Linked DNA regions of Ovis aries. The protein of the gene in region 2 purifies or fractionates together with the protein of the main gene of each other region. This does not show direct contact. Links are inferred from orthologs where the notes say so. Each region holds a gene or a part of one and is shown on either strand. Other genes may lie near its edges.

Region 1 (10,472 bases), on a different chromosome or scaffold from region 2:
CCAGGGGATCTTCCTGACCCAGAGATTGAACCCAAGTTTCCTGCATCTCCTGCCTTGGCAGGCAGGTTCTTTACCACTGTGTCACCTGGGAAGCCCCACATCTATCTCTATTATCCATCAAATTTATATACTACCGGTAGGTAGTTGAATATAAGATTTGGTAGGCTGTGAGAGAGTGAAATAATATAGAGGATTGTCCTAGTCCATGATATATTGGTAGTTTTAACTATCTATCTGATTTCTTGCACCTTACTTCTGGGATTACCTTCCTCCTGAAGTGTATCTTTTTAAGATGTCCTTTTAGTAGGTGTCTCTGGTTTGTAACATTTCTGTGGTTTGTGATATCTCTGTTTTTGCTTGATGATATATTTATTTCACCCTCACTTTTGTTACTAAGAGTTTAACGAGGTATGTACTTCTAAGTTCAGTTACTTTCTTTAGATAGTTTGAAAATATTTTTCCGTTGTCAGATGGCACACATTGTTGCAGTTGCGAAACCTTGCTAAATTTAATAGTTGTTTCTTTGCAGGGGATGTCTTTTCTTTCTGGGTTCTTTATCTTTGGTATTCTGCAGTTTCACTTTGATGTGTTTGAGATTTCCTTTACTTATCCTGTTTGGGATTCACTTTGCTTCCTGAATCTGAAGGGTCTTATCTTTGATCAATTCTGGAAAATTCTAAGCCATCATCTTATCATATACTGCTTCTTTTTGTTTTTTCGCTTTTTCTCATTATGCATACGGTATAGCCCCACAATCTATCCCCATGTCTCTCAACTTTCCTTTCATATTTCCTTTCTCTTTGGGTTGCTATCAGTAATTTCTTTAGATCTGTCTTCCAGTTTATTAATTCTCTCTTTAACAGTGTGCAATGTACTATTTAATCCAAACATTGGCTTTGGTTTTAGTTATATTTTTTATTTCTAGAAGTTTTACTTGACTCCTTTTCAAAGTTGCTTGGTGATTTTTTATAATATCTTGTTTCTTGCTCCTGTCTTACTTAATCATTTTAATAAACTTATGTTATATTCAGTAATAAATAATTCCAAAATCTAAACTTCATGAGCTTCATTATTCTCTTTGTGGTTTCTGCTGATTCATTCCTGGCTTATTTTCTCAGATGTATTGTAGTTTTATTTTGGGTGTTCATATATACCTTTTCATAGCCTGTTTGTGGAAATCCTTTCAGTCCTGTGTTGAGAGTGACCCTGTGCAATAAGGATATGTGTTTGTTTCTTCTAGACCTCCAAGTGTTACCAGCCTGGGAGACTTACTTGACTTGAGGTTTCCTGGACAGTGTAGATACTATAAATTTGAACTTTCAGACCTATGTGAGTGAAAATTTGTGGTTATGAATTCTAAAGGGAAAGCTTTTTCCCCTTGATGCCAAAATCCAGGTTAAAATATATCCACATTTTGGCCTGGGTTGGTACAGGGGATTTTTTTCTCCTAGTCTATTCTCAGAGGGTATAGTCCTCTGAATTTTCCAGCCTTGTGCAAGATTATAGTCCCAAATCTTTCTACAGGCTCATAGCCTTGTCTTTGGTCTCTTGTCTCCTGGGCATCCAAGAAAACCATAGAGATTTGAGGTAAGTAGGTTTTTTCAACACAACAATACAACACAACACAACACAACACAACACAACAGGCTTCATCGACTTGGTTACTACTTTGGTTTCTTGCTCCTCCTTTGGGTTGAATGTGAAGTTTGGAAGCCCATCAGAGGTATTCCTCTCTCTTTGTTTTAACTGGAGGATGATTGCTTTATAATATTGTGTTGACTTCTGCCACATATAAACATCAATCAGCCACAGGTATATACATGTTCCCTCCCTCCTGAACCCTGCTCCCATCTTCCACCCCATGCCACCCCTCTAAGTTGTCACAGAGCACAGAGATCAAATTGCCAACATCCACTGGATCATTGAAAAAGCAAGAGAGTTCCAGAAAAGCATCTATTTCTGCCTTATTGACTGTGTGGATCACAATAAACTATGGAAAATTCTGAAGAGATGGGAATACCTGACCACCTGACCTGCCTCTTGAGAAACCTGTATGCAGGTCAGGAAGCAACAGTTAGAACTGGACATGGAACAACAGACTGGTTCCAAATAGGAAATGGAGTACGTCAAGCCTGTATATTGTCACTTGCTTATTTAACTTATATGCAGAGTACATCATGAGAAACGCTGGGCTGGAAGAAGCACAAGCTGGAATCAAGATTGCTGGGAGGAATATCAATAACCTCAGATATGCAGATGACACCACCCTTATGGCAGAAAGGGAAGAAGAACTAAAGGGCCTCTTGAAAGTGAAAGAGGAGAGTGAAAAAGTTGGCTTAAAGCTCAACATTCAGAAAACAGATCATGGCATCCGGTCCCATCACTTCATGGCAAATAGATGGGGAAACAGTGGAAACAGTGTCAGACTTTATTTTTCTAGGCTCCAAAATCACTGCAGATGGTGACTGCAGCCATGAAATTAAAAGACGCTTACTCCTTGGAAGAAAAGTTATGACCAACCTAGATAGCATATTCAAAAGCAGAGACATTACTTTGCCAACTAAGGTCCATCTAGTCAAGGCTATGGTTTTTCCAGTGGTCATGTATGGATGTGAGAGTAGGGCTATAAAGAATGCTGAGCACTGAAGAATTGATGCTTTTGAACTGCGGTGTTGGAGAAGACTCTTGAGAGTCCCTTGTTCTGCAAGGAGATCCAGCCAGTACATCCTAAAGGAGATCAGTCCTGGGTGTTCATTGGAAGGACTGATGCTAAAGCTGAAACCCCAGTACTTTGGCCACCTGATGCAAAGAGCTGACTCATTGGAATAGACCCTGATGCTGGGAGGGATTACGGGCAGGAGGAGAAGGGGACGACAGAGGATAAGATGGTTGGATGGCCTCACCAACTCAATGGACATGGGTCTGGGTGGACTCCGAGAGTTGGTGATGGGCAGGGAGGCCTGGCGTGCTGTGGTTCATGGGGTTGCAAAGAGTCAGACACAACTGAGCGACTGAACTGAACTGAATTGGGTTGAGCTTATGCCTTTGAAAGGATGTTCTATTTTATCCAGCATTTTGTATATTTAATAGTGGGGATGTTTTTCAAGTTATCTAATATTGTGCCCTATTGCTCCTTGAATCCCTTTTCTCATATTCTTCATATCAATTAAGCTGTTTTGCTCTTTGTCTCAGCAAGAACAATTTGGCTTTCTCTATCTATTTCCATTGCTATTACTCTAGCACTAGTCATGATTAATGCCTCCCTAATTCATTCCTTTGTCTTCTTGCATCTCAAAACTCCATTCTCCATGTAGCAGTCTAGTATAAACCAGGTAACATCACTTCCCTGCTTACAACTATTTAATAACTTCTTGGAATAAAGTCCAGCCTCATTACTATGTCATTTAATATCCTTCCTGACCTGAATCTTGTCTTCTCTAGTGTTTTGCCATACTACGCTACTCCTCTTGCACTAAACTGCAGTTACACAGGCCTTTTTAACTGACCTTAGTGAGTTCTTGTTTTCCTTCCTCTGCTTGTAATGCTCCTGAAAGCTTCTCATGGCTCTCTCTTTCATTTCTTAAACGTCACCTCCTTAAAGATGTTTTCACTGGCCACCTTATCCAAAGTAATCATCCTAGTTTTTTTCCTCATACCAGATTCTATTTTAATTATTGTGTTTTTATATTTGGAAGTTCCACAAAGACAAAGTGACTCATGTTCACTCTTGTATCCCTGATACCCAGGAGTGACTGGTACATATTAGACACTGAGTGAATACATTGAGGCATCTAGTCAAAGCTATGGTTTTTCCAGTAGTCATGTATTGATGTGAGAGTTGGGCCATAAAGAAAGCTGAGCGCCAAAGAATTGATGCTTTTGAACTGTGGTGTTAGAGATGACTCTTGAGAGTCCCTTGGATTGCAAGGAGATCAAACCAGTCAATCCCAAAGGAAATCAGTCCTGAATACTCATTGGAAAGTGTGATGCTGAAGCTGAAACTCCCAATACTTTGGCCACCTGATGCAAAGAACTGACTCATTGGAAAAGACCCTGATGCTGAGAAAGGTTGAAGGCAGGAGGAGAAGGGGATGACAGAGGATGATATGGTTGGACAGCATCACCAGCTTTATGCACATGAATTTGAGCAAGCTCCGGGAGTTGGTGATGGACAGGGAAGCCTGGCATGCTGTAGTCCATGGGGTTGCAAAGTGTCAGACATCACTGAGCGACTGAACTGAACAGAATGAAAACATTGCGGAACTCCTCTGTGAATAAAACATAGAGGCCTTGATTTGCAAGGAGGTGGGCCTTAATTAGCACCAAAATACATTGAGTTACAGGCAAAAAGCAAAATGGATAGTGGATGAATTCTCAGAAACAGATGTCCTGGAGCAGGTTCATGTAACAAAAATCGTCTTTCAGCGTCTTTGGTTGGCACACCTGACTGGAGACAATGCTCTCTCAATATAGAGAATAACCCCCCAAAAAAGAACGTGGGAGAGAGACGTGGAACACATCTCCAAACTACAACTCCCGACAGGCCCCGCGTGAACTCCCACTGGGAGGTGGTGCCGGTCTCCGCCCAGTGGAGCTCCGGCTTGGGTCCCACCCCTCTCCGCTCCCCGCCGTCGCCCTCCCCTAGGGTTGTGGCCACGCGCAGCGGCAGTGGTTGTTCCGCTTCCCCTTTGGCCTGGGCCGTCGCCATTGCCGAAGGCTCCCTGCCCTCCCCTCCCGGCGCCCGCGGGGCTCGGCTGCCGCCTGGCCTAGCGGTAGAAGCGGCTGCGCTCCAGCGCGGCCCCTCTTCCCGCCCCGCTTCCCCCTTCCCTCCCCTCCCCGCCCCGCGTCGCGCGCTTGCTCGGGGCGGCTCCGAAGCCCGCCGGGAGCTCGGCCGGAGGCTCCTCGCTGGGGCGGGGACCTTTCCTCGCCTAGGGTAAGTGTGCAGACAGGCCGGGACGCGGGCCGTCGTTCTCATTCCTCCTCGCTTCTACGCGGCCTGGCCGGCGTGAGCGGCCCGGGGCAGCTGACCTGCCCCGCGCGGGCCCGGGAAGCCGCCACCTGCGTGCCTGGAGCCGCAACTCTTGGGGCGGTGGCTCATTGTCTGCGCCCTCGGGCTGTTTTCTTCTCCGGCTCTAGCCTGAAATGGGAAGCTTGCTGGGCTGGTGAGATCTAACTCTTCCTGGACCCGGCCCTGCCCTGAACCGTGACGGTGGCAGGCCACCGTCTCTGCCTTCTGCTGATCTCCCTTCCCTCGCGTTTCAGCCGCCTTTTCTTCATTTACTTTACTGTTCGACGAAACGTTTCGGGTTTTAGTCCTTGATTTTTTTCGTCCCTTACAGAGTCCCAGCTCCTCCTTATCTCTCTGGTCATCCCAGTTTCTTTACCGAGGCACATTGTCTAAAGCCGCTTCATTCTTTCCTAAACTGCAATCTGTGATCTCTTCCATATTCCGCATCAGTAGAAAACGAATAGTTTTCCGAGGGTTTGAGAGCCTCCGTTTAAAAACAGAACTTTCGGGTCTTCTCGTGATTCCTTTTGATCCTCCGCCGGGAGGTGAATATTTGCTTCTTTAGGTAACTTAGCTGAAGGTTGGCTTTCACCATGTTTAGCTTTCTTTAAAACAATACATACACACAAAACGTTGTCGAGTATTCCTCAGTGGGCTCAACCTTTTGACTCATTCTTTAAAGATAGAGTCATCCAAGAGCTGAAGAGTGGAAAGCAATTGCCGTTGTCGTCAGTTGTGGGGTTGTACTACCGGCCCTGTATCTTATCTTTAATGGGAATACTCTGGGCAGTGCGAACGTGATTTCTTTCCTCCTTGATAAATAATGCCAACTCCTATTGGTTTAGTTATCTCAGATTTATTTTACAAGTGATCTGTGTTTTTTTGTTTTCTTTTTCAACCTCTGTAAAAAGACAATCAAAATGGTTAGGCCTAAAATTAGACTCCCACGAGCTGTGTTTTGGATCAAGGTTGTTCACGTCACGTTTTTTCCCCTGCTCTGTTTGACTCTTCCGCTCTTGCAAGTAGGCAGGATATTGAAATGTAGAAGAATTTGCTCTGGGGGTTTTGTTGTTGTACGGTTATTCAAAAGAATAACATTAAATAAAGTTAAGATTGGGATGAAGACAGTGAATGGTAATTTTTAAAGCAGGTTAGAACTTGTCAACTTTTCCAGGAGCTCTGTGGCTTTTGTAAATCACACTCATAATCCCTTCTATATATTTTGTATGTATCTATGAAAAAATATATATCTAAGTGAAACGTTTGTTCATGTTCTCCTCTTAAGGGTATTGATTTAAGGCAACTCTTAAGTCCTTAGTTTTAAAATCTTTTCTTGTTTTAATTAGCCAGAAACACAGACTTCCATTATGAAAAATGAACCTTAAAATGTTTCTGACCTGTAACATATGTAGGACTTAAACCCACTTTCAGGCTTTGGTGAAAGAGGTTGACCTAAATTCAGTGTGTTTTCAGGACTGTCATTTTGGTAGCGTCGTTTGTCCTTAATTCATTGAGAGGTCGTCTTGGCCTAAGGGGTTAGGTCTAGAAATGTTGGAGTGTGCAAGTGGATGTGTTGATGTCAGCTTCTCTGCCAGTGCTTTCTATAAGCAGATACTTCTACTGAGGAAGAGTTCTGCGTATTCTGCTTCTCTTAGGGCCCTATTTCCAGTTTACAATTATTCAGAATTATTCTTCTGGACTTTTGACATTAAATGCTAACCTGGCAAACCCAAATTCATAAAGTCTGTAATTGTAGTCTGTCTACTGAACAAATGAATAGAAGTTCCTATGATTCTCTAGTCTTTTTGATGGGCAGATTTCCAAGCAGACATGGTTAGCAGTGGTGTATGTATCTTTTCAATTATAATTTTTTTTTTAAGAGAAAACTTGGAACTTGTTCAGGTAGCTGGATAAACATTCAGTTATTCTTTTTTTTTTTTTTTTTTTTTTGGCTGTGCTGGGTCTTCATTGCTGCAGTTGGGCTTTCTCTAGTTCAGTGATGGGGGCTACTCTCTAGTTCAGGTGGTACGCAGACTTCTTATTGGGATGGCTTCTCTGTTGAGCATGGGGGGCTTCAGTAATTGTGGCTCGCCTGCTTATAGTTACCCTGAGGCATGTGGAATCTTTCTGGACCAGGGATGGAACCTGTGTCCCCTGCCTTGGCAGGTGGATTCTTTACCCTTCGACCAGCAGGGAATTCTCTATTCTTTTTTAAAAGAGAGAGATCTTGTTGGAATAGCTTGGGATAAAATAGGTAGATATTGTTAAATTCTTCCTATGTTTAATCTGTCTATATTGATTATTCTAGTATTTGAATATAACATTTCTTTTGGCTTTCTGAATTTTCTACTTTTGATTAAAATGTGAAACTGCACCTTGTTTTCAAGTCTAAAGACTTTGGCATTCTGATCAATTTGTTTTTAAACGCTCTTGCAGTTAGTTACAGGACTAATTCCAGACTAATCAAGGAGGGTGTTAAGTTACTCGCAAATCTGAGTTGTCCTTTGTATCCTTCTTGTACCTCTTGTACCTTGGTAGAAGCAGAAAGATGCAAAAAAAAAAGAAAATAGAATAAAGAAAAAAAATAGCCCCTGTTGCCTTAAAAAATACTATTTTCTTCTGTGATAAGAATTGAGTGTCACCACTTCTTCATTTTAGGATCACTAACCTGAGTAAGAATAGTTAGTCCAAATATGCAGGCCACATTTCATGTCATTCCAGGTATCAAAAGTGGTTAGGAGCTGGAGACCTGGGTTTGAATCCTAGCTCTTGGACTTGACTCTGGACAAGATACGTATTCTTTTCAGAGTTGATTTTTTCAATCTATAAGATGAGGATTAATAATAATAACAGTATAATACAAATTTCATAAGGCTATTTGGAGCAAATGAGAAATACAGGGAAAATTACTTAGCAAATGCTGTGCTTACATGATTAATAAATGTTAATTGATATTCTGTTCTAAACTGTGTTTTATATTTAGTTGCTTCTGCAACAAATGTTATACTTAGAAACTTAGATTTAAGACTGCTTTCTAAAGTGGTTGGAATCTCAGGACCATGTTTTTGAGATCATAACTGTTAAAAAAATTACTTTTCAGGGAAAAAGTTTCATCAATGAAATCAAATATAAGTTTTTTTAATACATATTTCTCAGATTTTAAAATAGTCATATTTCTCATAGAAAATTTAGAAAGTAAACTATTAAGAAACAGGACAAAAATTACTATACAAAAATCACTTTAGCCCTCAGAGATAACCATAATTATAACAGATTAGAATAGTGAGTTTTTCCCCTTTATTTTAAAATTAAATTTCAAAGGCAGTCACTTCATGCTTATCACAAAAGATTCAAGCAAGTCAGTTATTTAGCGTAAAAAGTGAAAATTACTTTCCTTACTTTCTAGTCGCATTTCTTACAGGTACCCACTGTTAGCAATTTTGTTTTCTTTATGCAATTAAAAATAAACACAGTGTGTGTGTAATCTTACCTTAATTTTATTTTTAATAAAAAAATCTAATTGTTATAAATTCTTTTCCATCTCAGTACTTGTTATACCTCATGTTTTTAATAGTCATGCAATATTCTATTCTTTTCTTGTACTTTACTTAATTCTTTATGGTTATTTTTGGGCAACTAAAAGTGAGCTTTAGTGAACTTATATCTTTGTGCACATGCATATGTATAGAAGTATTTCCATAGAAAGAATTCTTAAGTGTGCATTTTAAGTTTTAATAGATGCCAAACTGCCTTCCTAAAAGGTTATACTAATCTGTACTTCTTTATTGAATTGCAGAAGCTCTTTACATATAGTAGATATTAATGCTTTAAGAGTATCTTTTCCATTTTACCTTTATCAAAAAACAATCTTCTATATTTTCTTTTGGTACTTTAATAATTGTATTTGAATCTTAATACTTCAGATTATTTTTTTGGTGCAAAGTAGGGTAAGAGTTTGGCTACTGAAATAAAATATAGGTATGAAAATATTTCAGGACTTTGAGGTTGGTGTAAAAATTTGTCACATGATAAGGATTCAGAGAGGAATATTTTAATAGTTTTATTGTAAGCATCACATCTGAAAAGGAGGGGGAAATGCCCTCTTTTGGCTCCTAGTTCTTGGCATCTACCTAATTCATCCTCAGCCTTCAAATTTTAGCTTTTGAGTATAGCTTTCTTTGGGAGTCTTCCCTGATTTCTGGTATGATTTAGATATTCTTATTGCTTTTATATGTTTTCTTAACACATTGATCCATAATCTTTCTTTGGAGTATGCTGAAAGGATGAGTTATTCATTTGGAAAGGAGAGTTATATCTCAATTTTTGTCAATTGAAACTAATCAAAAAGGAGATGCAAAGAACTCTAGTTTTGGTTAAAATTGAAACACATATATACATACGGGCTTCCCATGTGGCGCTAATGGTAGAGAACCCACCTCCAGTTCAGATTAGAGGTAACAGACTCTGGTGGATCCCTGGGTTGGGAAGATACCCTGGAGGAGGGCACAACAACCCACTCCCGTATTCTTCCCTGGAGAATCCCATGGTCAGAGGAGCCTGGCGGGTTGCCATCCATATTGGGTCACGCAGAAACCCACTCTAGTATTCTTGCCTGGAGAATCCTATGGACAGAGGAGCCTGGCGGGCTGCAGTCCACATGGGGTCGCACAGAAACCCACTCCGGTATTCTTGCCTGGAGAATCCCATGGACCCAGGAGCCTGGCAGGCTGCAGTCCATATAGGGTTGTACAGAGTCGGAGACGACTGAAGCGACTTAGCGCAGTACCTATATGCATAAGCGTTCAGGGCTCTTTTAACCTACATTACTGAGTTCTTCCTAACATGTTTCTGATCACACTATTATCTTGTAGATAATATTTTTTCATGTAAATATTTAGTAAGTTCTGGGAAAATAGAGGTTTTATTTTAATCCCTATTTCGTAGGTACATTTTAAGGTATAATCTCAGCTTTCAAAAAATTAATTCCTAGTCTCAGATTCCCTGGCAATCCAGTGGTCAAGACTCTGTGTTTCCTTTGTGTTTCCCCTGGTTGGGGAACTGAGATCTCAAAAGCCACATGGTGTGCCCCAAAATTAATTCCTATGCTTTTTAATTTTGAGATTTGGTTTATAAAGCAAAAATGTTACATAATAACCACATGAACAACAAGAGTTGGAGTAAAACTTTTAGACACAATTTCAGTTTCTCTAAAGATCAGGTTATTAAAGAATAAAAAGTTACATTGGCAAATATAATAGTAAAAATATAGCCAGGTGTTTGATAGATTATCTATTGTAAATTCTTTCTGAACTTTTTCACCTTCCCTATTAAATATTTGAAAAGAATAAAGTTTAAAAAAAAAAACAACAAATATTGCCTGTGAATGACTGCAGTTAATACAGTATTTTGATATTTCTTTATATTTTGTAATTGTACATAATTTACTTTTCTGAAATTTTGGAAT
Region 2 (9,991 bases):
AGGCTAAGCAGAGGTGCTTCAGCGCCGAGACAGAGGGGCAGGCCCAAGCCAGCCTCCAGAGAGAGCCTGCTGAAGGGCAAGTGCTCATTATGGAAGCTCACAGTGTGTTTCTTTTATTCAAAGGATTATCACCCAGACAGACAAGATATTCAGAAATCCATGACCGCCTTCAAAAACCTTTCAGTAAGTGATAGAGCGTGTTACGGTTTTTTTCCTTCAGACATTATTGTGGCAAATGAATACAGGAAATTAGTTGTGAACTATAATTTGGATTTATTCTGGAGAAATAAAAAATAAATAATGTAGTTATTCCACGGCTGGTAAACTTTCCTATGTTACGGCACTGTGGACACCAGAGAGGTGAAAGGATCAGTGTCTGCGCTTACACGGCGCTGCGTAATGCTGCCGCACACGTCAGTGATCTGGACCATGTCTGCAGTCTCATCTCAGCATCTTGACTGGCGCGTGAAAGGAGTGCTGGGCTTCTCCCTTACCTGCTGTTGTGCTGTCTCAGTACCTGAGTCTCTGGAGTGCGTGCCTTACTTATAGCACGGGCGGAACTCACCCTTTTCCCCTCTTCCAGGTCTCCTCTTCGGGCGCTCACTAGTAAAATCAGAGGATGGTTTTCTTGTCCAGTCCACATTCCATCTTCTAAAAGTGACAGGATTTGCTATATTTTTCTCAGCTAGTATTTCTCATTCTAGAGCTGTTGTGTTGTTGCAGGTCTCTCTTGACTTGATTCTGTACTCATGAATGAGCGAGTTGTTCACTAGTGTCTGTCTGCAGAAGCAGCCGGGGCCGCAGCAGTAGAGCCTGTCTCCCCTGACGCGCCTCCTGTGCCCCCCCAGGCCCAGTGTCAGGAGGTGCGGAAGAGGAAGGAGCTGGAGCTGCAGATCCTGACGGAGGCCATCCGCAGCTGGGAGGGTGACGACATCAAGACCCTGGGCAGCGTTGTCTACATGTCCCAGGTCCTGATCCAGTGTGCTGGCAGCGAGGTACTGCCTTCAGCGTTCCCTGCACTTCTTTTACCGTGGGGAAACCTCTCTCCAGGGCCCCTGCGCCTGGCTGGCTTCCCCTGCCGGGGCCACGGCTCCCCTGAGTCCCTTCACTGCTGTGGGTGGTGTCTCTCCCATGAGTCGCCTTTTAGATTCCTGGGCATCTTTGGGCTTCACCTGTGGTCTTTCTGGGGCTCTTCTTAACCGGTCGCGGCAAATGAGGTTTAATACATAAGCAGTGCTCGTCAGCTTTCCGTGTAAATTGGGCAGAGCTCACGGGGGGTGGCAGCAGCAGGCGTGTTGGGCTCCAGGTTGGTTAGTGCCAGGATCCGCCGCGGACCAGAGGCAGTCTCCCGCCTCTACCCTCCCTGCCTTCAACCTGAAGGGTCTGCCTGGTCTCCCTCTGCCACTGAAAGGTCACAAGTTCTTTTCTTCTATTTTCTCTCAACCACAGAAAAAATCTGTTTTTCTAACTCCTGCCTAATGAGGAGTTAATGGCAGAGCTAAACTCAGATTTTTAAAAAAGGTGTTCCATGGGTACTTGTGAGTCTTAACGAATTTCTCATAATTTTGTTCCCGTTTAATTTAAATTTGGTAGAAAGAAACACCTAGACATGAAGTGTGATATGCTCTTTCATAAGGCCGAACGTGAATATTTGTTCTCACCATTGTGAATGTGTAAATATGTGTTTTTAATATAGTTACTTGAATTTGTTCTTTTACATTAGGAAAAGAATGAAAGATATCTTCTACTCTTTCCGAATATTTTGCTAATGTTGTCTGCCAGTCCTAGGATGAGTGGCTTCATATATCAGGTAAACACATTTTAAATTTAGATTTGTTTATTGTGGGCCTGAGCGCCGTTTTCAGGCTCCTTTGGAGTTTTCGTGTTGATGCTGCGTGTGTCTGTCGTGTGCTGGGTACAGTGTTGTACGTACAGTGTCATATTCGCATCTGTGCGCACAGCCCCAGTGTGTGTGTGCTGACGTGACTGTGAAGCTAGGATCTTCCTGCTCATCCGGAGCAAGCGGAGAAGGGGCCTGGCCTCTGTGCAGCTGACCCTGAGGACCCAGAGTGCTGGGGCGCTGGCCAGCTGGCCGCCTCCAGGGCGCTCTGCCGCTTTCCTGCCACCAGGGCAGGCGGCTGCTCCACGGGCCGGCTTGGGGGGGCACGTGTGGCTGAGGTGGTCTGTGGGCCCCCACTGGACTCAGCAGTCACGGGCACACGCCTGGCGTGTTATTTAGCTTCTTTATTGCTCGTCACTTTCCTGATTTTCTCCGCGAGGATGTGAGGCTGCTTTAAGAAGAGATGCAAGGGCAGAGCCCTTCCGTTTCTGTCTGTCACGTGAGGTGCTGCCCTGCCCTCCTCCAGGGACCTGCCCAACCCGGGGATGAGCCCAGGTCTCCCGCGGTGCCGGCGGCCTCTTGACCGTCTGAGCCTCCAGGGAAGCTGATAAGTGCCTTAGGTTTTCTGTGTGTCTAGTAGGGGCTTCTGGCAAAGTTGACTGCTTTGTTCCTGTGTGGTTATTGAAGCTGCAGCCCTTCCATCAATTCCTCAAGGCCTGGTCACCAGGAACCATTCCCACAGAAATCACCCTGGGTTTGCTCAGAGTTGCATTTTTGCACGGGTGGCACGCTATTTGTCTTATCCCCAACAAGCGCTCTGCTGGGTCCTGAGTCCAGAGCGTTCACGGCAGGCTTGTACCTGCTCCGAAAGCTTAACAGCCCAGAGAGGAGTTGACATCACGCACTTGTTCCGAAAGGAGCGCTTTAGGCATGAGAAAGCAGATTGACACGGGCCAGCCCAGGAAAGGACCGCCTCCCAATCTGTAAGCCTGCGGTTGAGCACCTCCCCAAGCTGGCCGCTGCTGCTCTAAGTGAGCTCTGTCCTTCTCGGCCATGTACCCTGGCTTCGAAGCTCCCCCCACCCCAAGGCCCAGGGCCCTGCGGTGACCTGTGGGGCTGCAGGGGCGTCCGGAGCGGCCTCAGGCCCCAGGGTGCTGGCGTCAGCGTGCCGCCACCGGGCCCTGCTTCCCCCGGGCGTGCTGTCTCGGGGGCTTCTCTCTGAGTGCTGAGACCCCCAGTGCTCGCGGGTCAGTGTTCACTTCCGGCTTCGCCCCACATCCGGCCACCGCGAGCTCGTCCCGGCCTCCGCAGCTGTTGCTGCAGGTTAGTCGGGGACACGCAGCTGTGTTTCCCGTCAGGCTTCTCCGAGCTCTTGGTCAGCCCAGTGCCGTGGGCCCCTCGGCAGGGCGTCTGCAGTGCCCATGCCCGGCTGCAGGACAGGCTCCTGCGCGCGGGCCCCACTGCCCGTGGACCGGATGAGGCCTGTGGGGCTGCGGAGGTGGCCGGGCCCGTGTGGTGCTCTCGGCGCCTGGCCTCTGCCCGGGTGTCAGGAGTCCGAGCCTTGTGGCCTCAGAGCCGCCCTGCTGCTCAGGGCCCTGCTCCTCGGGGCCCTGGCCCTGACCCGAGAGACGCTCCCTGCAGACTCGCTCGGCCTCCACAGCTCTGGTGGCTATTATTCGAGGGGCTCGCTCCACGGCCCAGTTCTGGTTCCGCTCCCTGCCTCACGCCCTCTGTCCCAGAGCAGGCGGGCTGGTGCTCTTCTCTGTGTTGTGGGCAGTGCTTGGCGCAGCTGCTGACGGACAGTCTGGTGGCGGATGGCCAGGCGCAGTCTCGCACAGTCCCTCCGGCTCCAGTCGCCTGTATTTGCCTTTGGATGCGGAACTCGCCCCGTGTTTCTCTAAGGCACATCTCTGCTTCCTTTCTATAAACAGCATCATTTAAAATAGCCACCGTGGACCCTCGTTGTTGTTTTTTTTTTATCACACGTATGATGTTTTTGTGTCTTGCTGTTTATATTTAGAGTAACTCATCAGATGAAATGTTTTTGTTCTGGTTTGCAGCCCTGTACCTTTTTGCTGGCTCATTTCTTGGTTATAGTATTACAATTTCTTACTCAAGGTAGAGGCTTTTGTATTATATATGCCTTTGGTACAAGCAAGAGAGTTTGCTTTACAAAGACAGTTCCTCTGCATTGTCTAAAATTGTTTAATATTTACTTTAATAATGGTACCTCCTTTACTAGAAAAGCACTGACTGTTTTTGTTGGGGGGTCTTTTTTAGGGAAAGCTACCAACGACAGGAATGACAGTCACAAAGCTTGAGGACAGTGAAAATCACAGGAACGCGTTTGAAATATCAGGTGATAGGCGCGGGCTCTGTGGGTGCCCTCTGTCCGGGTGCCGAGGCCATGGCCCTCGTGTGCGGGCCCCGCTGAGCCCCCGAGGGCTGCATGGGCGTGCTGTGGGGCCTCCTTGGGGTGCACATGTGTGCGCTCTGACGCCCTCCAGCCCGTGCCTGTCTCCTCCAGGCAGCATGATCGAGCGGATCTTGGTGTCCTGCAACAACCAGCAGGACCTCCACGAGTGGGTGGACCGCCTGCAGAAGCAGACGAAGGCCGCCTCGGCAGGAAACCCCAGCAGCAAGCCTCACTCGGTGCCCTCGCACACCGTAAGGGCCCCGCCCCGCCCCCGCCCGCAGACCCCGGGCCAGGAGAGCGCCGCTGGGCCTCGGGCCTCTCTGCAGACGCGTCCTCATCCCCCGTGGGCCGCGATCGCCTCACGGGGACCCACTTGTGAGCCAGGCCTGCCTGTCTGCCTCTCGAGAGTTCACACACACACACACGCACATAGTTCACCGGTTAGGCGCCCGTCGGCACCCGCTTAGGCAGCTGCCCTGCCCAGGGTGGGCCGCGAACACTACCTCAGGGCTTGTGAGGGTCTCTCCTGGGACTTCTCCCACATGGTTCACCCTGGGGTCGCTGCCCTTGGGCTTGAAGGGCCGTCCCAGGGACGGTGGTCATGGCATGGTGTACTGGTCACTGCTGCAGCCTCTTACTCCATTTCTCAGCAGTTTGGGGGAAAAGCTATTCATTTGCTTCAACTATCATTTTGAATGGTTTTGCCATGACAGCTTTTCCATATTGTAAATGTATTCTAGAGATACTTAGCTTTCATGGGACTAAATTTATCCCAAGGGCATCGGTGTGTACATGTGTGTCATCCACAGGGAGTCCCTTCTCACTCAGGTGGTAACAGCCTTAAACCAACCTCTACAGACTCCCACCTCAGGGAGCCATGTGCCAGGACCCTGGCCTTTCTGGTCCCAGGGCAGCTGTGTGGTCATGGCAGAGTCCGCTGCTTCTGTCCTCGAGCCCTAAGCCTCAGCTTGAGCCCAGGCTCCCCTTTAAGCCTGTGTTTCAAATATTATTCATTTCTTCTGAATAATGACCTTACTCTGGTTTCCAGCTCACAGAACAACTCAACTTTTTTTCCTGTTAAGCATACTGTATTGTTTTGGGTTAATTCGAGGTCACTGGCTACTTTTGAATTGTTTAAAGTTCTAATTTGTCATTGTGATCGAATACTTTTGGAGTTTCTAGGAGCATAAACCCCATTAATAAGGTCCTTCTGAGAAATTAAATTTATGTAACCTGGTCTTGATTAAAGCTGATTTTTCTGAGAAAATGTTTTACCCAAGGGATTGGTAAAATTTTTCTTCAAAAACACAGTAAATATTTTTTTTTGGTTTTTAAGCACTATGGTCTCTGTTGCAATTGTATTTTGCTTTTATAATATAAAAGCAACCATTGACACGAATAGGCCTGATTGTGTCCCAGGAAAAAAAATTTTTTTTTAACAAAAACAGGGATCAGGCTCTACTTTTGCTGGCGAGGTAATAATTATGCTCCCCCAGTCACATTCCCAGGGCAGAGAATGCCCATTCTTTTATAAAATCCTGATATCTGTGTTAAATGAAATGCCTTTTTTGCAAACGTGACTGCTTCGCAGTTAAAGGCGGTCAGTGGGTTTCCGGGTCTGGACCCAGCAACCTGCTGCTTCCCGCCCTGAGCTCAGCAGGCCTCACGCAGGGTGTGGGGGATGCTCGGCCTGACGGCCAGTAACCTGAGCGTCGGGACATTCAGGATGCACGCTAGCAAGTGGGCGCTGCTGTGCTGGGAGGGCTGGGCTGGCCTCGGGTCCTCTGGCGGTGAACGCGCTCTGCTCTCTCCCTCTGTCCCTGGCAGCTCCCCTCCCACTCCATCACCCCGTCCAGCAAGCACGCGGACAGCAAGCCCGCGCCGCTGACGCCCGCCTACCACACGCTGCCCCACCCCTCCCACCATGGCACTCCACACACCACCATCAACTGGGGGCCCCTGGAGCCTCCGAAGACCCCTAAGCCCTGGAGCCTGAGCTGCCTGCGACCAGCACCCCCTCTGCGGCCCTCGGCTGCCCTCTGCTACAAGGAGGTGAGCCCTAGTGAGTGTGGAAATGTGACAGCCCTGTGTTTGTGTCTGTGACATGGAGCCGATGAGCCTCTTCAGAATGGAAGGCTCTGCCTTCTCTCCCTTGTTACCCTTCCTGTGCTCCAGAGCCCCAGAGTCCTGGGGAGACCCCCTCTGTGCCCATAACAGGGAGAGGGACAGGCTCGGGGCACTGTTTGCGCTTTGAGGAAGCCGGTTGACGACTGTGGTGATCACACGAGCGTGCTTGAGTGTGAGCCGAGTTCAGTTGCTCTGGTGTGGTTGTGGCTATGAGTGTGGGGGGTGTGGCTCGGGCGGTGGGCTGGGTGGGATGTGGGTGAGGCTGTGAGCATGGTGGGTGGGACAATGAGCTTGGTGGGCGGGACAATGAGCCTGGTGGGCGGGGCCTGTTCGTGAGCCTGGTGAGGCGCTTTTGCACCAGTTTGCATCTCAGAGAGGCCACATTTGACGAAGGACCTGGGCAGACCCTGCCTCCATCCTTGCTGGAGGAATTTTATGGTACATGGGGGAGTACAACATAAATTACAGTTAATCCTGTATGGGTTTTGTTAGTGAACTTCGGTTCTTAGGACATGTTTCTTCCTGGTGGCCCATTTTGGCATCCTCGCTGCTTAGCTCAGTGTGGTGGAGTGCAGCCACGCCCTGCTGCGGGTTCTTACAGGGGAGGGGGGAGTAGGGTACAGGAGAGAGAGGCTTGGCGGGTGTGGCCGTGGACATGTCCAGTGTGCTGGGCACACAGGCCGCCTGGTCACGGAGCAGGCGTCCTGGGGCAAGGCCGGCGCTCTGCGCCGCCTGCGGGCGCTGCTCCCGGGCGTCCCTCCGCCCCTGTGCCTCAGGACGCCTGCTGCTTCACTTCTTCGGGACTGCTGATCTGCTGCGTTTCCAAGCGCTCTGGAAGTTTTCACTTTCACAGATTTTGGAGAGACACCTTTGGAACGCAGGCTGTTCTTTCGGTGCTTGTCAGCCTGATCCCTCCCATGGCCTGAGTCCCATTCTCAGCCTTGGACTGGCCTCGTGAAGTTCAGCGGCGGTGAATGTGACTCAGTGATGCCGAAGTTAGCCTCCCTGACACTGGGGTTCAGTACGTGCTTGACAGTCAGAACCTTGCCGGCCGCGTGGGCTGCTTTTGCTGCTCCTCTTCTGCCCGGCTGAGCGTACAGATGTGCTGTGGACGGAGGGACAGTCTCTGGGCTGTGAACATAGCTCTGCCAGCGGAGGGGGCGCCAGTGTGCTGCCCGTGGGCTGATTCTGTTCCCTTTCCTTCTCCCTGTTTCCCTCACGTTTCATTTAGAAATCGACAGTGTCCTCCTGTCTTAATGGTTGGCTGCAGCAGGGGGGTCTGCCCTAGAGTGGGCAGCGCACGTGGTTCCCTGCACAGGCGTCAGCCCGCTGCCCTCTCTTCTCCGCACTGCCGGCTGCCGCACCTCCCAGGGAGTGGTCCCGGTGGTCCCGGCGCCGGCGGGTCCAGGTGGAGGAGGACCGTCACAGCCTGTGCCTCAGGATGTCAGCGCTCCGCAGCTGGCAGAGCGCGGTCAGCGTGTGCGGGGCGGGCGCTGGAGTGTCCCGGCTTCCCCCTCCACAGCGGCCGTGCCTGCCCACCAGATCTGGGGTCTGCCAGCCTTTTCCTCTCCTTCCCCAGGACCTGAGCAAGAGTCCCAAGACCATGAAGAAGCTGCTGCCCAAGCGCAAGCCAGAGAGGAAGCCCTCGGACGAGGAGTTCGCTCTGAGAAAAAGTGAGTGCCTGGGAGGACACACCTGGCTCTTGGTGGAGGCGGGGTGGGAGGCGGGGCCTCGGGTGGGGAGGCGCGGTCTCAAGGGTGAGGAGGCGGGGCCTTGAGGGTGGGGACGGGGCTTTCCAGAACCGCAGAGGGGAGCCAGTGCCCAGCCTCCGGTCTGCTCTTGAGGACGTCCGAGTGGGGCAGTGCAGCCCCCTCAGTGCCGGCCGCATCAGCTGCGCTGGCAGCATCCCCTGTGAGCGTGCCCCCGCTGTGGACACTGACTCCCAGTGGATCCTGCAGGGAGTTAAACATTGTTCTCACAGAAACCTGTTACACGACTGGTCCAGTTGGTGGCATGTAGGTCAGTTTCTCGGTGGCTCCTAAGCCCTCTGTGTAATGCTGACTCTTAGGAGGGAGCACCTGGCCTGCTTTGCGTGTGCTTATCTTGATATCATGAGATGCTGTCCAAACATTTTTGGTACGGCTTATAAGTGGCTCAGTCCTTCATTCTAACCATTTAAAAAAAATTAGTTGAGCCTTTAAAAGTATATATTGAGTATTCTAGAAAATATATAAAAATTTAGAACAATAGCAGAAATTAACCATACAGCTGTATGAAGCACGCGGGGTGTGAGGGCTGCCCGGCACCAGCAGCGTCAGACACTGTTGCTCCGCAGGCGCCGTCCTCCGCCAGGTGGCCCCCTGGTGCAGGTGAGGCCAGTCTGGAGGGGCCCCAGCTCAGGCCAAGCTCTGGAGCCATGCCTGCACACTCTGGGCTACACTCTGTCAATTTCCGGATTAACTCTGGTGGGAATCTGTGGGTCAGGGAAGCGCTTGTAAATAGGGTCAAATGGCCTTTCAGGGGCTGCTCCTGTCTTCTCTGCCTCCCGCGTGTGGGTGCAGGAAGTTCTTTCTGATACCTGCATCCACACGGAGAATCGTGGTTTCTGATTTTCTCAGGCAATATGTGAAAACGCCATCCCTAGTTTTAATTTTGACTTCTTTTCTTGGTGACGACGAACATTCTTCTGTGACTCTTGTGAATTGTTTCTGCTTCTTTTTTCATGTTCAGGATGGGGGGGTATTCTTTTTCCTGTGGATTAGTAAAACAATATATATGTATAAGTATATATATACACACACAGACATATAGATATGTGTGTATATATATGTGTGTGTGTGTATATACGTGTGTGTGTGCGTGTATATATGTTTGGGTATTAGCTCTTTGCCAGATATGTTGTAGATAAAAAATAGAAGTAAACGTCCTTTGGAATATAACTATTCTGTGAATATCCAGAAATGTTTATCCGGCACCAATTCCAGGGGAGGGGCCGTCCGTTAGCACTGCTGGCTGAGTGGCTGGCCTGGCTGTGCTGGTGACTCGGGCGGTGACGGCCGTGTGTCCCTCGCAGGCACGGCTGCGCTGGAGGAGGACGCCCAGATCCTGAAGGTCATCGAGGCTTACTGCACCAGCGCCAAGACGCGGCAGACGCTCAACTCAAGTAAGTGTCGCCGGAGCCCACGGCCACTCTGCTGGCTCCTTCTGCCTGAAATCACGCCCCAGAGGACGCGGCTGTGGCCCTGTGCAGGCTCTGGGCGTGACCCCTAGTGAGGGTGCTTCTGCGGCCTGGCCCGCGTCCCTCAGTCGTGAGAAGGGGTCTGAGCGGTCAGTGACGCGGCCCTGCTGGGAAACCTTGGCGTGAAGGGCGCTGCCAGGCGTAGCAGCCCTGGGGCCTGGAGAGGGCGGCTGTGATAGGACACCGCAGTGCGCTCTCAGTTCAGTTGGTCAAGCTGCCTAAACCCCTGGTGTGGAAGTGGTTTGAGCGAAGAGTTTCTGAGAATCATTGTCGAAAGCACAAGCCTAGGGTAAGAGTTGTTTTTTGTTTCTAACAGCAGCTCACCGCCCCACCCCCACCCCCCAAATGGTTGCGTTTAGAGTTTTTGCTG
Region 3 (9,991 bases), on a different chromosome or scaffold from region 2:
GAATTTTGTGTGTTTAAGGTTGTGAAGAGAGCACCTAGCACATATTTCCAAGGTGCCCTTCGAGTCTTTTCCAGTAGCTCAGGGTCCTGTCTCAGTGCTTGAGAACACACTTCCGCCCCAGCCCTGATACTGTATTTTTATTGTTTTCATTTTAAAATTTAAACAATTTGAACAGGAAAAATACATTCAATAAGAGTTCAGTTTTCAGTCAGCATCTTATCCTCAAAGACAGTAATCATTAACTGACAGCCATTTGTCCTTCTTGATTTTACTGACTCAACCAGACATAAACAAGTTCTAAGAAACTCGATTAAATTTTGGTGAAGGTACAGTGATAAGGGTCCATTCATAAATTTGAAGTCTCAAAATGTACAACTTCCTTTGACTTGGTGGGTCCATCTCTAGGTGTTAGTTGAGGAGAATTAGAGATGTTGTCTGTGTGATACATATTACACTGGAAACAATAATAGAGCAATTTTTAGTTTCATATTTGAATAGGGCACACTTTTTTCAGGGACTACGGAATGATGTAATATAAAATAATTAATTTTTTGAAGAAGCTTTAGTATCATCCCAATTTTGTAAGGAAAACATTTATGTACATGCATATGTACAAATGAATATCTTTATTTATCCCCATTACTCCCAGATCTCATATTTGCCAGTTCACCTGTTCATTAAAATTCATTTATTACCTTGAGAATTCCCTGGCAGCCCAGTGGTTAGAACTCTGGGCTTTAACTGCCAAGGGAGCAGGTTCAATCCTTGGTTGGGGAACTAAGATTTCTGCAAGTTTCATGGGGCAGCAAAAAGATAAATAAATTAAAAATTATTACCTTAAAATCTTACAGCACTTTGATGGTAATTTGTGGATCTGTACAGTGTGGTAAAAAATTTGAGTCACCCAAAACACATGTTCCCATGTGAGACTGAGCAAGGCCATGCTCTTCCTTTTATTTCAGCTCTTATACTGTAAGCAGGTAGCCTTTTTGATATTTATTTAGTGCCACAGTTTTTCACATTTTTTGATAATTTCACTGTTTAAAGTGGTCCCCAAGTACAGTGCTGAAGAGCTGTATAGCATTCCTGAGCACACGAAGGCGGTGACATGTCTTACAGAAAATACATGTGTTAGATTAGCTTTGTTCAGGCCTGAGTTACAGTGCTGTTAACCATGAGTTCAATGTTGATGGATCAATGATATATATTCAAGATGTCTTTAAACAGAAACGCATGTGAAACAAGGTTATGTATTTATCAGTTGACAAAAATGTGACCAGATGTTTGCAGGAACCTAACTGTATTTCCACTCAGAACAGTGGTTCAGTATTTGCTGATTTGTTCTTCACAGCAACTTTATAGACCGTGACTGCTACAAATAGTAAAATTTACTGTCTGTATTTGTATATGCTTGGGAAAAGACTGGCAGAAAATAGAATGACATGTATCAATAGCTATGAATGACTACTCTTATCATTAGTTTCAATTTTTCTATATTGAGTCCTTACTACTTCTGTAATCTGATGGTATATATATATATTACATATTCATTTTGAAAACTAAAATTCCCTTTGAGTAAACATAATTTATCACCCAGATATTATCCTTCAAAATTTCCATAAACAGTGTTGGAAATTTGAGGTTTGCTTGAGTTGCCTGAAAGAGAGATGAGAGACTTGGATAATTTGCGAAATCTTTCATTCATAATGTGTCAGAGCTGATAGAACCATCGCTACTTCCCAGTAACCATATGCTCTTGGTCTGCATGGTCTGTATCCAGTGGGTCATTTTCTTTCTCTCTCTTTCTCCCTGGCGTTCAGTTAAGGAAAGGCCAACGTGCCTATTCAGTGGTCTCCTAGTTTCTAGGCTTACTTTAGCAGTTTTCTTTCTGTTTTGACTTGATGTTAAATCCTGTAAAAGAGTTACAATTGTAACTGAATTACAGTTAATCGTACTTTAGTTACAGCTTTATTTTCGTGATTTCGAGCTATACTGTTTCCTTGAATGATTACAGATTTGGGAACCTGCCACCTTACATGAGCAGCTCTTCCCTAGCCATCTAATTCGTGCCCATTTTTGGCAGGTATCTCAGATGGTTGCTTCACTCTCTCTATAGTTTTCAGTAGACTCTGTCCGGTTGATAACGTGCTCTGTTATCCCTTTTGGGGGTGAATAGAACCTTGCTATTTCTGTCATTTTTCTTCCAGTCTTTTAAATGGCTCATTTTTCTTTTAGGAAAAAAGAAGTTCTTTTCAAGCCTGAAGTAAAGTTATTTGCTTCTGTTGACAGACAATGTAGAACTGATACTGAAAACAATTAGTAACCAGCACAGTGTTGAGAGTCAGGACAATGACCAGCCAGACTACGACAGTGTGGCGTCAGACGAAGACACGGATCCGGAAGCCACTGCAAGCAAGGCCCACAGGCAAAAGGTAAGGTGGTGCATTGCACACAGAAAGTGAGCTTATGTTCTTTTTCAGATCTTTCCTCCTAAAAATTTGCCTGATTTGTAAAGCATTCGAGGGCTAGGCCTGGGAAAAGTGCTCTGGAGGTAAAATTGGGTTTTCTACTAGTTTGGCCCAAGCAAAGGTCAACAAGGTAAATATTTTAAAGTTTTAAAATAGGGGGTCCCTTGCCCCTGAGTCAGTTGCTGACTCACAGCCCGGCTGCAGTATTAACTTTATAAAACCTATGAGGAGGGACGGGTGGGTTTTACTCTTTCAACAAATGTTTACTTTTGTTGGGTATTACCCAAACTTCTCTGGATAATACTCTCCTGAATGAGGGCTGGTCTCTTTCCTCTGTGAGGCCGTCCTCACCAAGAGGAGAGGGAACCGCGGTTCGAGGGTCATAAGTGCAGACAGGAGCGGAGGGGTGGGAGCAGGCGATCCACAGACACAGCCTGTCACTGACAGGGAGTGTCAGGGGAGGCTGAGAAGGCCCGGGACGTGGGCACGTGGAAAGGCAGGGAGGGGTCAGACTGAGCGGAGGTGAGACAGGCATCTGGGGGACGTCTGGTCACGTGGAGAGGCAGCCTGAAAGGAGAGGGAGTCTGAGCTGCGGCAGAGGGCGGGGATCACACCGTGCAGGAGCGTGACCCCAGACTGAAGAGCTGAGACCTTGGCTGGCAGCGCAGAGCCCAGGAAGCTTTTAGGCAGGGCGGGAACACCATGTCCACCTTGTTGGGTCCTCTGTTTGGGGAGGACCGTTCTGGTGGGTCAGGAGCGGAGGAGAGGAACCCAGGCAGGGAGGTGCCGACAAGGTCCAAACAAGAGCTGACGCAGGCTCACCTCAGGGCCTCTTCAGCTGGGAGGGTCTGGATGGAAAACAAAAGTCACCGTTGCAGAGAGTGAGCCCGAGGCCAGGGCAGCAGGGGCCTGGCTGGCCTGCCTACCGCTGAATATCCCTGACCTGGCCCACAGGGGGCTCAGCAAACACTTGAGAATGGGCAAACAGGAAGACAGAAAAGGCAGGGCTTGGGGACAAGTTAGACATTGGAAGTGGGAAGGTAGATTTACCCGAGTTGTGTCCGGAGTTTTCCAGCTTACACAGCTGTGCGGGTCAGTGGTGCCACCGGCAGATGCAGGGAACATGGAGGGGATGGCAAGAGTCAGCTGTCCCATCTGAAACATCTCCGCCAGTCTCCCCGGAAGTGCTGAGTTCAGTCGAGTGAAGGCGGGTCTTGACTGGACCCTGCACGACAGGGTCCCTGCACTGGCTAGCCTCCCCCTCCTCTGGGCCTTGCACACCCACGCCCTCTAGCTGAGTCCTACCACAGGCTGGAGCGCTGTCCTCCAGACAGCCACCTGACTAGTGACCTCCCCTCCTGCAGGCTGTTGCTCATGTCCCCCCACCCAGCTGTCTAGTTAAAATGCACCCACGTCCACCTCTCTTTCAGCTCCCCAGCCCCTCACTCCTCCTCTGTTCTGTTTATTTTCCATAGCACTTATCACATTCCCCTATACTATGTAGTTATTTATTATTATTTTTCTCCCTCTCTCACTCAGTTGGGATGTAAACACCATGGAAGCAGGAATCTTTTTCTATTTTCTTTTCTTATGTAACCTAAGCCCCTAGAACACTGCCTGATGCTTAGTAAAAATCTGTCAGAATGAGTGAAATAATGAATCAAAAAAGAAAAATGAATGAACAAGAGAAAGGCAGATGAGACAGGTGTTCAGAGTCACTGTTAGAGTAGATTTGTGGCCCCACTCTCTGATCGCCAGAAAATACTGACTTGAAAATTTTTCATCTGTTGTAGGAGCCCTACCTTTCTGTTTTATTTTTGTATTCCTCTCAGAAGCCTTGATTTGGTTTGATTAACTTTGCGATCCAGCTGGCACAGTCAGAATTTTAAATTCTTGAGCTGTTAGTCTTGAATGTTATCATCGTCTCAGATTGTGAACGTTTTCCCCAATTTATTTTTAGAGCCTAGATTCAGATTTATCAGATGGACCAGTCACTGTGCAGGAATTTTTGGAGGTCAAAAACGCTCTAGTGGCTTCTGAGGCCAAGATACAACAGCTAATGAAGGTGAATAACAACTTGAGTGACGAGCTGAGAATTATGCAGAAAAAGGTAACATGTCAATAAATGCCAGGATGGTTGCTCTTTAACCCCATAGTATATAAGGAAGAATCCCAGGCATGATGCTTGTGATCAGAGGGAAGAAAAACAGACCTGAAAATCTTTGGGCCAAGCTGTCTCTTTGGAAGCAGTATGAATTATGGATATTTTCAACGAAGTAGCTTTGATTAGATATAAATCCAGTTTAAGTTGCCCAGGTAGGAGAACATCATAACCTATTAAGTAAGTATTCATATCAGTTTTAGAGACCCTTGCAAGCGTCCTGTGTTTCCTGGGAAGCTAGACACAGCTCCAGGGGTGTGATTCTTACTGTTTATTGCTCATTCTAATCACCCCGTGAGACAGAGCAGACCAAAGCCCGGGACAGGGTGTGTGTCTACCAGCATTTCAGAGCGCCCCCATACCACACATGGCTGCTCTCCCTGCTCACTCTTATGTGTTGTTACCCACCCCGCCCTGGCAGCCCTGTCGCACAGTCCCACTCCACTGTTGGCCAGTTCCTACTGCTCATTTATGATGTCCTCAGAGTCACAGAATAGATACTCAATATAAGAAAACCTTTCATGCACACAAGCGAGAACTGTATGCTGGTAAGAGACAATCCCATTTGCTCAGCATTTGCTTGTTTGCCACCTTTTGAGAGAGTCAGAAATACGTGAACATACTGATCTCTAAAAAGCGTGTGGCTAATGGTAGCAAAGAATATGTTGAAGAGAGGATTATGTATGTCATTCTTTATAAGAATGCTAAGAAGAGGAGGTAGAAAAACTCTGACTTCTGCCCTAGACTTTGTCGGCCCTGCTCCCACCATTCAGTGCTCTACAAAACGAGATGCACACATGCTTCCCTTAACCAGAAACAAAACAAAGTATGTATCTGTGTCTTCCTGCTATCACTTGAAGAATAACGCTTCAGAATCGTTACCACCACCAGAGGACATGGCGCACCTTGTTTGTGGCCGGGCCCTTTTCAGCGGTGCTTCCTGAAGGAAGGCTGAAGAACTAAGGGGCCCACGCGCCTCTGCTTGTCAGGAAAGGACACGGCAGTGCACCCTCACCTAGGGCTTGGTCCAGGATTCTTTTTGAGTCTAGATCATTTTTTGGAGACATTTTGAGATAGATGGCTTCAACACCTGTAATAGAAAGGGATAAGAATACCTGAAGATCAATCAGATTTTAATCAGACATTTGTTCTCTGCCACCCTGGCCCTGTCTAATGCTGGTGTGCAGCCATGAATGAGACAGACCAAGTGCCCTTTTGCCATAATGTACAGGGCTTGCACTTCTCTCTTCTCTGAAATTTCTTTTATTTAATGAATTATAGTTTATCTCATTAGTTGAACTAATAGATGGGTTTGGGGTGACTTTTTCTGAAACAAGCTGACTTTGCCACTGCAAATCAGTCTGCTAAGCATTACCATTTTTATTCCGTTATGCTCCTTTTAGTATTTGTAGAAATCACCAGAGATAACCTTGAATCTCTGAAAGCAAATGTCTCGAGCTTGTTTAAGAAATGTTGAGTGGAATTACTTGTCATCATTGATGGATTATCTCCTTGATTCTTAGAAAATGCTCTCGATTTCTGAAACTATTATCTGTAACTTTTCATTTCCTGTTGTACTCCTTCCAAACAGAAAAAGTATAGCCTGGTTCTTATTAAGATAAGCATCATTCAGGTTTATCCAAGGACATCTCGGTAAATTCAGAGTACTAAAACTTTTTAAAGTTGAGACCAGCTGAGATCTCGCACATTGAGGTGAGATCCAGACTGGATGTTCTACAGTGAAAAGTGTGAAGATGAAGTTTCAGATTTCAAGACCTTGTCTAAAATCCTCTAGGAGGTTTCCACATAGATAAGCACTTGACGAGATCCCCCCATCCTTCACTGAGGGCCGTGTGTCAGTCATGTTCCTCACTTTTTGGCCCTCGACCATTTCACTTTAGAACATGGGTTCCCTAGGAAGTAGTTTTGACAGGCACTTTATGCCTGTCTGTCTCCTGGAATGTAGGACTTTTCAGTAGATGCTTATTACTTTGCAGCTGTTTGCAGATACAAGTTATGGCCTGAAGCATAGGTGTAGAAGCATCCTCTCATTTCTCAGGGGTCATGCTTTGAGAAAATAGAAAACAAGGGTATTTCTGTGGCAAAGACAGTAAGTCAGACTTTCACAGGCGTTTGGCACTACTGGTATAAAGTATGTGGAACTTGTTTATTCAGTGAAGAAACGTTGATTTTATTTCAAAGTCAGGTAAAGTTTTTTAATATAGTAGTCAACAAAGTAGCATGATTTGTGTCTGATCTTTCACATTTAACAGTTGCTTGGAAAAGATGCTAATTAATGAAGAGGAGCAGCCACTATTGGTGTATTTGTCACAGAGCGGTGCTTTCTAAAATAGAAATTGAAAGTAACTCCTAACACTGAATGGGTTGGCTATTGGAAAAAATGATCTTCTGGTGCAGACACAGTTGCTTGTGGACTTAAGCCTTGGCCCTGGTGGGGAATTTGGTCAGATTTTTACTCTCTCTCAAGGAGTAGACAGCTGAACTCACACCACACCCAGCTTATAAAATGCTCTGGAGGATGGAGGAGCACCAGAGGGGAAGGACGTTGTACAGCCTGGACTCAGTTACTTGTGTGTAACATGCCAGATGGCTAAAGAGGAGCCCGATTCCTTGCTGATCCCTGTAACTCTAATTCATCCAGCACCATGAAGCAGCCTGCATGTGAGCAATGGGAAGAGCGTTCAGGGCCTCCAAGTGCCAGCCTCTAACTAAAACAGGGTGGTGCCAGGCAGCTTAGCATGTTTAAAGCTGACACCACCACGGTCACATTTCTGGGCGACAGAGCCAAAGGAGAGCGAGGCCAGGTCTTCCGGCCCCGGCTGAAAGATGACTGATCACCAGAGGGCGGCGCGCGCCAGTGGAGCGTTCAGATGAAGATGTTGATAGTTCAGTAGGCCTCCGGTTCTCTTCGTGATATGTTTATAGAGCAAACTTACCATGATCCGGTTCCCTCCCTTTAAGAAAAACAAAACAAAACAAAACTCAGTTGTTTGGAATTTCAAAGAATATATTATATAATAAAAACTTGTTGATCTTAATTTTTCCTGTTGGCTTTTTGGGCAGCAATAGCTCATCTGATTTTTTTTTTTTTTTTCGTAAACTGGATTTCACTGTCTTTCTCGCTTTGCAAAGCAACTCTAAGTTATCTTTGTGCTGCTTCCATGGTGTCTGCTGACATTTTTGGCATTTCTAAATTGCTCAGGGCACATCTGAAAAGCAGGTTACTTAAATGATGTCTTAATGATCTCAAGCTCTTGCTTGAAACAGCCTTAGAACCAGCCAGGGCACAGCCTGCCTGCAGACAAATTTCAGGGCCACCGTGACCAGTCTTTAAGCTGTGAGAAATTTTGCTTTAAAAAAGTCCAAACTGCAACTTTTCCACAGTCAGAAATGATTTCATTTGCTTAACTGATTAAGTGAGTTGACTGCATTTCACTCATTCTAGAAGAAAGAGTTTGTCTTTGTGGTTGCCTTTGACTTTCAGCTCAGCAAGCTGTTACTGTTCTTATTGTTAAAGCTGGTAGTTGTACGCGTTTACTTGGTGTTTGCTTTTTCTGCTTGCTATAGAAAAACACAGTCCCACTGCCAAACATGTCTTTCAGCTTCAAACACTCCAGAGTGAAAATTCGAACCTCAGGAAACAGGCCACAACCAATATATATCAGGTGCAAACTGGTTCTGAATACACAGACACTTCCAACCACTCCTCCTTAAAGCGACGTCCGTCTGCCCGGGGCAGTAGGCCCATGTCCATGTACGAGACGGGATCAGGTCAGAAACCCTATCTCCCAGTGGGAGAAGTGAACCATCCCGAAGAAAGCAGGACGAGACTCCAGCCATTCCCGGCGCACGTAAGTAATACCACCAGTGCTTCCGCTCTTTACTCTGTCCAGCCTGACCCCTGCCTTCCCTCTTCTCAGCTTGCAGATCCCCAGTCTCCGCTTTGCCAAATGGGGCTATGAGAACCGTCCTTGTGTTTGCTGTATTAACATGTCGACCAGTGCTTGTGGTGTTCCCACAAGCACTCCACAAGCACTCAGGGCCCATGGCCGAAGGTGTCCCAGCAGCTCTGGGGATTCTGGCTCTTGCTCGGCCCCCTCTCCCCCTTTTTCTGCCCCGTATCCATAGTATATTTCCCGAGAGGCCACTGTTGGAACTTTTTTGGTCATGAACTTCCTTCCCCATATCCAAAACCAAAACTTTATAAAGGTTACCACGGGAAGAAAGTACCGTCTTCTTCCAGGTAGGCGGGTGTGTGCCCACTTATGCACCAGAGCCCTTAGAATTCAGAGTGCCTTCTCCACTCTTCTGAGTGGAGCAGGTGGCGTCTGTGGCCTGGGGGTGCAGGCCTGGTCGGGAAGCCTGTGGGCCTCAGCAGCCCTGCACCTGTGGTCAGTCTGCTGGCTTAGCTGCTGCCTCCTCTTCCTCCCTTGTTGGGAGAAAGTGTTGCTTTTTCATTTCATGAGAACGAGATGTAAAAACTCCTATATCAACTTTACCTGCTTTATGTTCCAGAGATGGTATTCTGTAACAGGCTGCTAACACTCTTGTTTTTCCCATGGAATAAGTATTGTGTTGCGAGGTTTTCAAATTATATATCTTTTGGATTAATTTATTTTAAAAACCTATGTTTTGACAAAATGTTTTCTGCATTTTGAACCTACGTGATTTTATTTTTTCGGAGAGTAATACTTACCTTTTGGAATGTCAGTTGTTCTTCAGTCCACTTTTATAGGAATTTCCAAAAAAAGTTCTCAGGGTCAATAGTAAAGAACATGGCCTGGGAAATTATACCCTATTCAATTTTGTCAAGGTTTAGTGTGATAAAATTACAGTGTTGTTATTTTTTAATTGGGAATCTGCTGCTTCAGCTTTTAAAGTTGTTTGGGCTAAACATTCTAAAACAATTGATTCAACACATTTGGTGTAATGGGAATGCCATTGAACTAAGTTAAGAATCTTATTTTTGTATAACTGAGAACAAAATTTAGGAAAAGCCACTTTGTTCATTTTCACAGTGTACTTTTTGATTTTAAAAACATTTAAAATGTAAAAATGTCTTATTATTTTAAAAGTTCTATATCTGTACTGTATCTGATATACATAAACCAACTTTAAATCATTTGTATAGATTTTCATTTCATATCATCTGTCCTGATTAAAAAAACGAGTATTTGTTTAAGACTATTAAAAAAAAAAAACCATTGGCACTGTTGACAGATTATGCTAGGTATTGTCTTTTCCCTCATAGAAAAGTAGCCTTACAGATTCTGAGTAATTTCCGAGAGGCATTTATTTCACTGAGGGATTAAACATCTCTGGGGATCTCATTGGCTAGCGT

What was found.
Region 1: the proteins of ARHGEF7 (region 2) and PAK2 purify together in Homo sapiens (co-immunoprecipitation; 5 studies listed by BioGRID and IntAct, with this or other methods). This does not show direct contact. The link is inferred for Ovis aries from reciprocal best matches to the Homo sapiens genes ARHGEF7 and PAK2.
Region 3: the proteins of ARHGEF7 (region 2) and GIT2 purify together in Homo sapiens (affinity purification with mass spectrometry; 6 studies listed by BioGRID and IntAct, counting the BioPlex papers as one, with this or other methods). This does not show direct contact. The link is inferred for Ovis aries from reciprocal best matches to the Homo sapiens genes ARHGEF7 and GIT2.

Annotation. Positions count from the first base shown.
Region 1 is NC_056054.1:192,066,837-192,077,308, forward strand, and holds the start of PAK2 (serine/threonine-protein kinase PAK 2), read left to right. Parts: upstream 1-4,627; 5' UTR 4,628-4,933; intron 4,934-10,472. UniProt on the Homo sapiens protein: Serine/threonine protein kinase that plays a role in a variety of different signaling pathways including cytoskeleton regulation, cell motility, cell cycle progression, apoptosis or proliferation.
Region 2 is NC_056063.1:84,871,562-84,881,552, forward strand, and holds part of ARHGEF7 (rho guanine nucleotide exchange factor 7), read left to right. Parts: intron 1-123; coding exon 124-183; intron 184-848; coding exon 849-995; intron 996-1,723; coding exon 1,724-1,810; intron 1,811-4,120; coding exon 4,121-4,199; intron 4,200-4,367; coding exon 4,368-4,507; intron 4,508-6,083; coding exon 6,084-6,308; intron 6,309-7,962; coding exon 7,963-8,056; intron 8,057-9,456; coding exon 9,457-9,546; intron 9,547-9,991. UniProt on the Homo sapiens protein: Acts as a RAC1 guanine nucleotide exchange factor (GEF) and can induce membrane ruffling. Functions in cell migration, attachment and cell spreading. Promotes targeting of RAC1 to focal adhesions. May function as a positive regulator of apoptosis.
Region 3 is NC_056070.1:63,466,885-63,476,875, forward strand, and holds part of GIT2 (ARF GTPase-activating protein GIT2), read left to right. Parts: intron 1-2,289; coding exon 2,290-2,432; intron 2,433-4,428; coding exon 4,429-4,578; intron 4,579-6,902; coding exon of another isoform or gene 6,903-6,926; exon of another isoform or gene 6,927-7,688; intron 7,689-8,252; coding exon 8,253-8,501; intron 8,502-9,991. UniProt on the Homo sapiens protein: GTPase-activating protein for ADP ribosylation factor family members, including ARF1.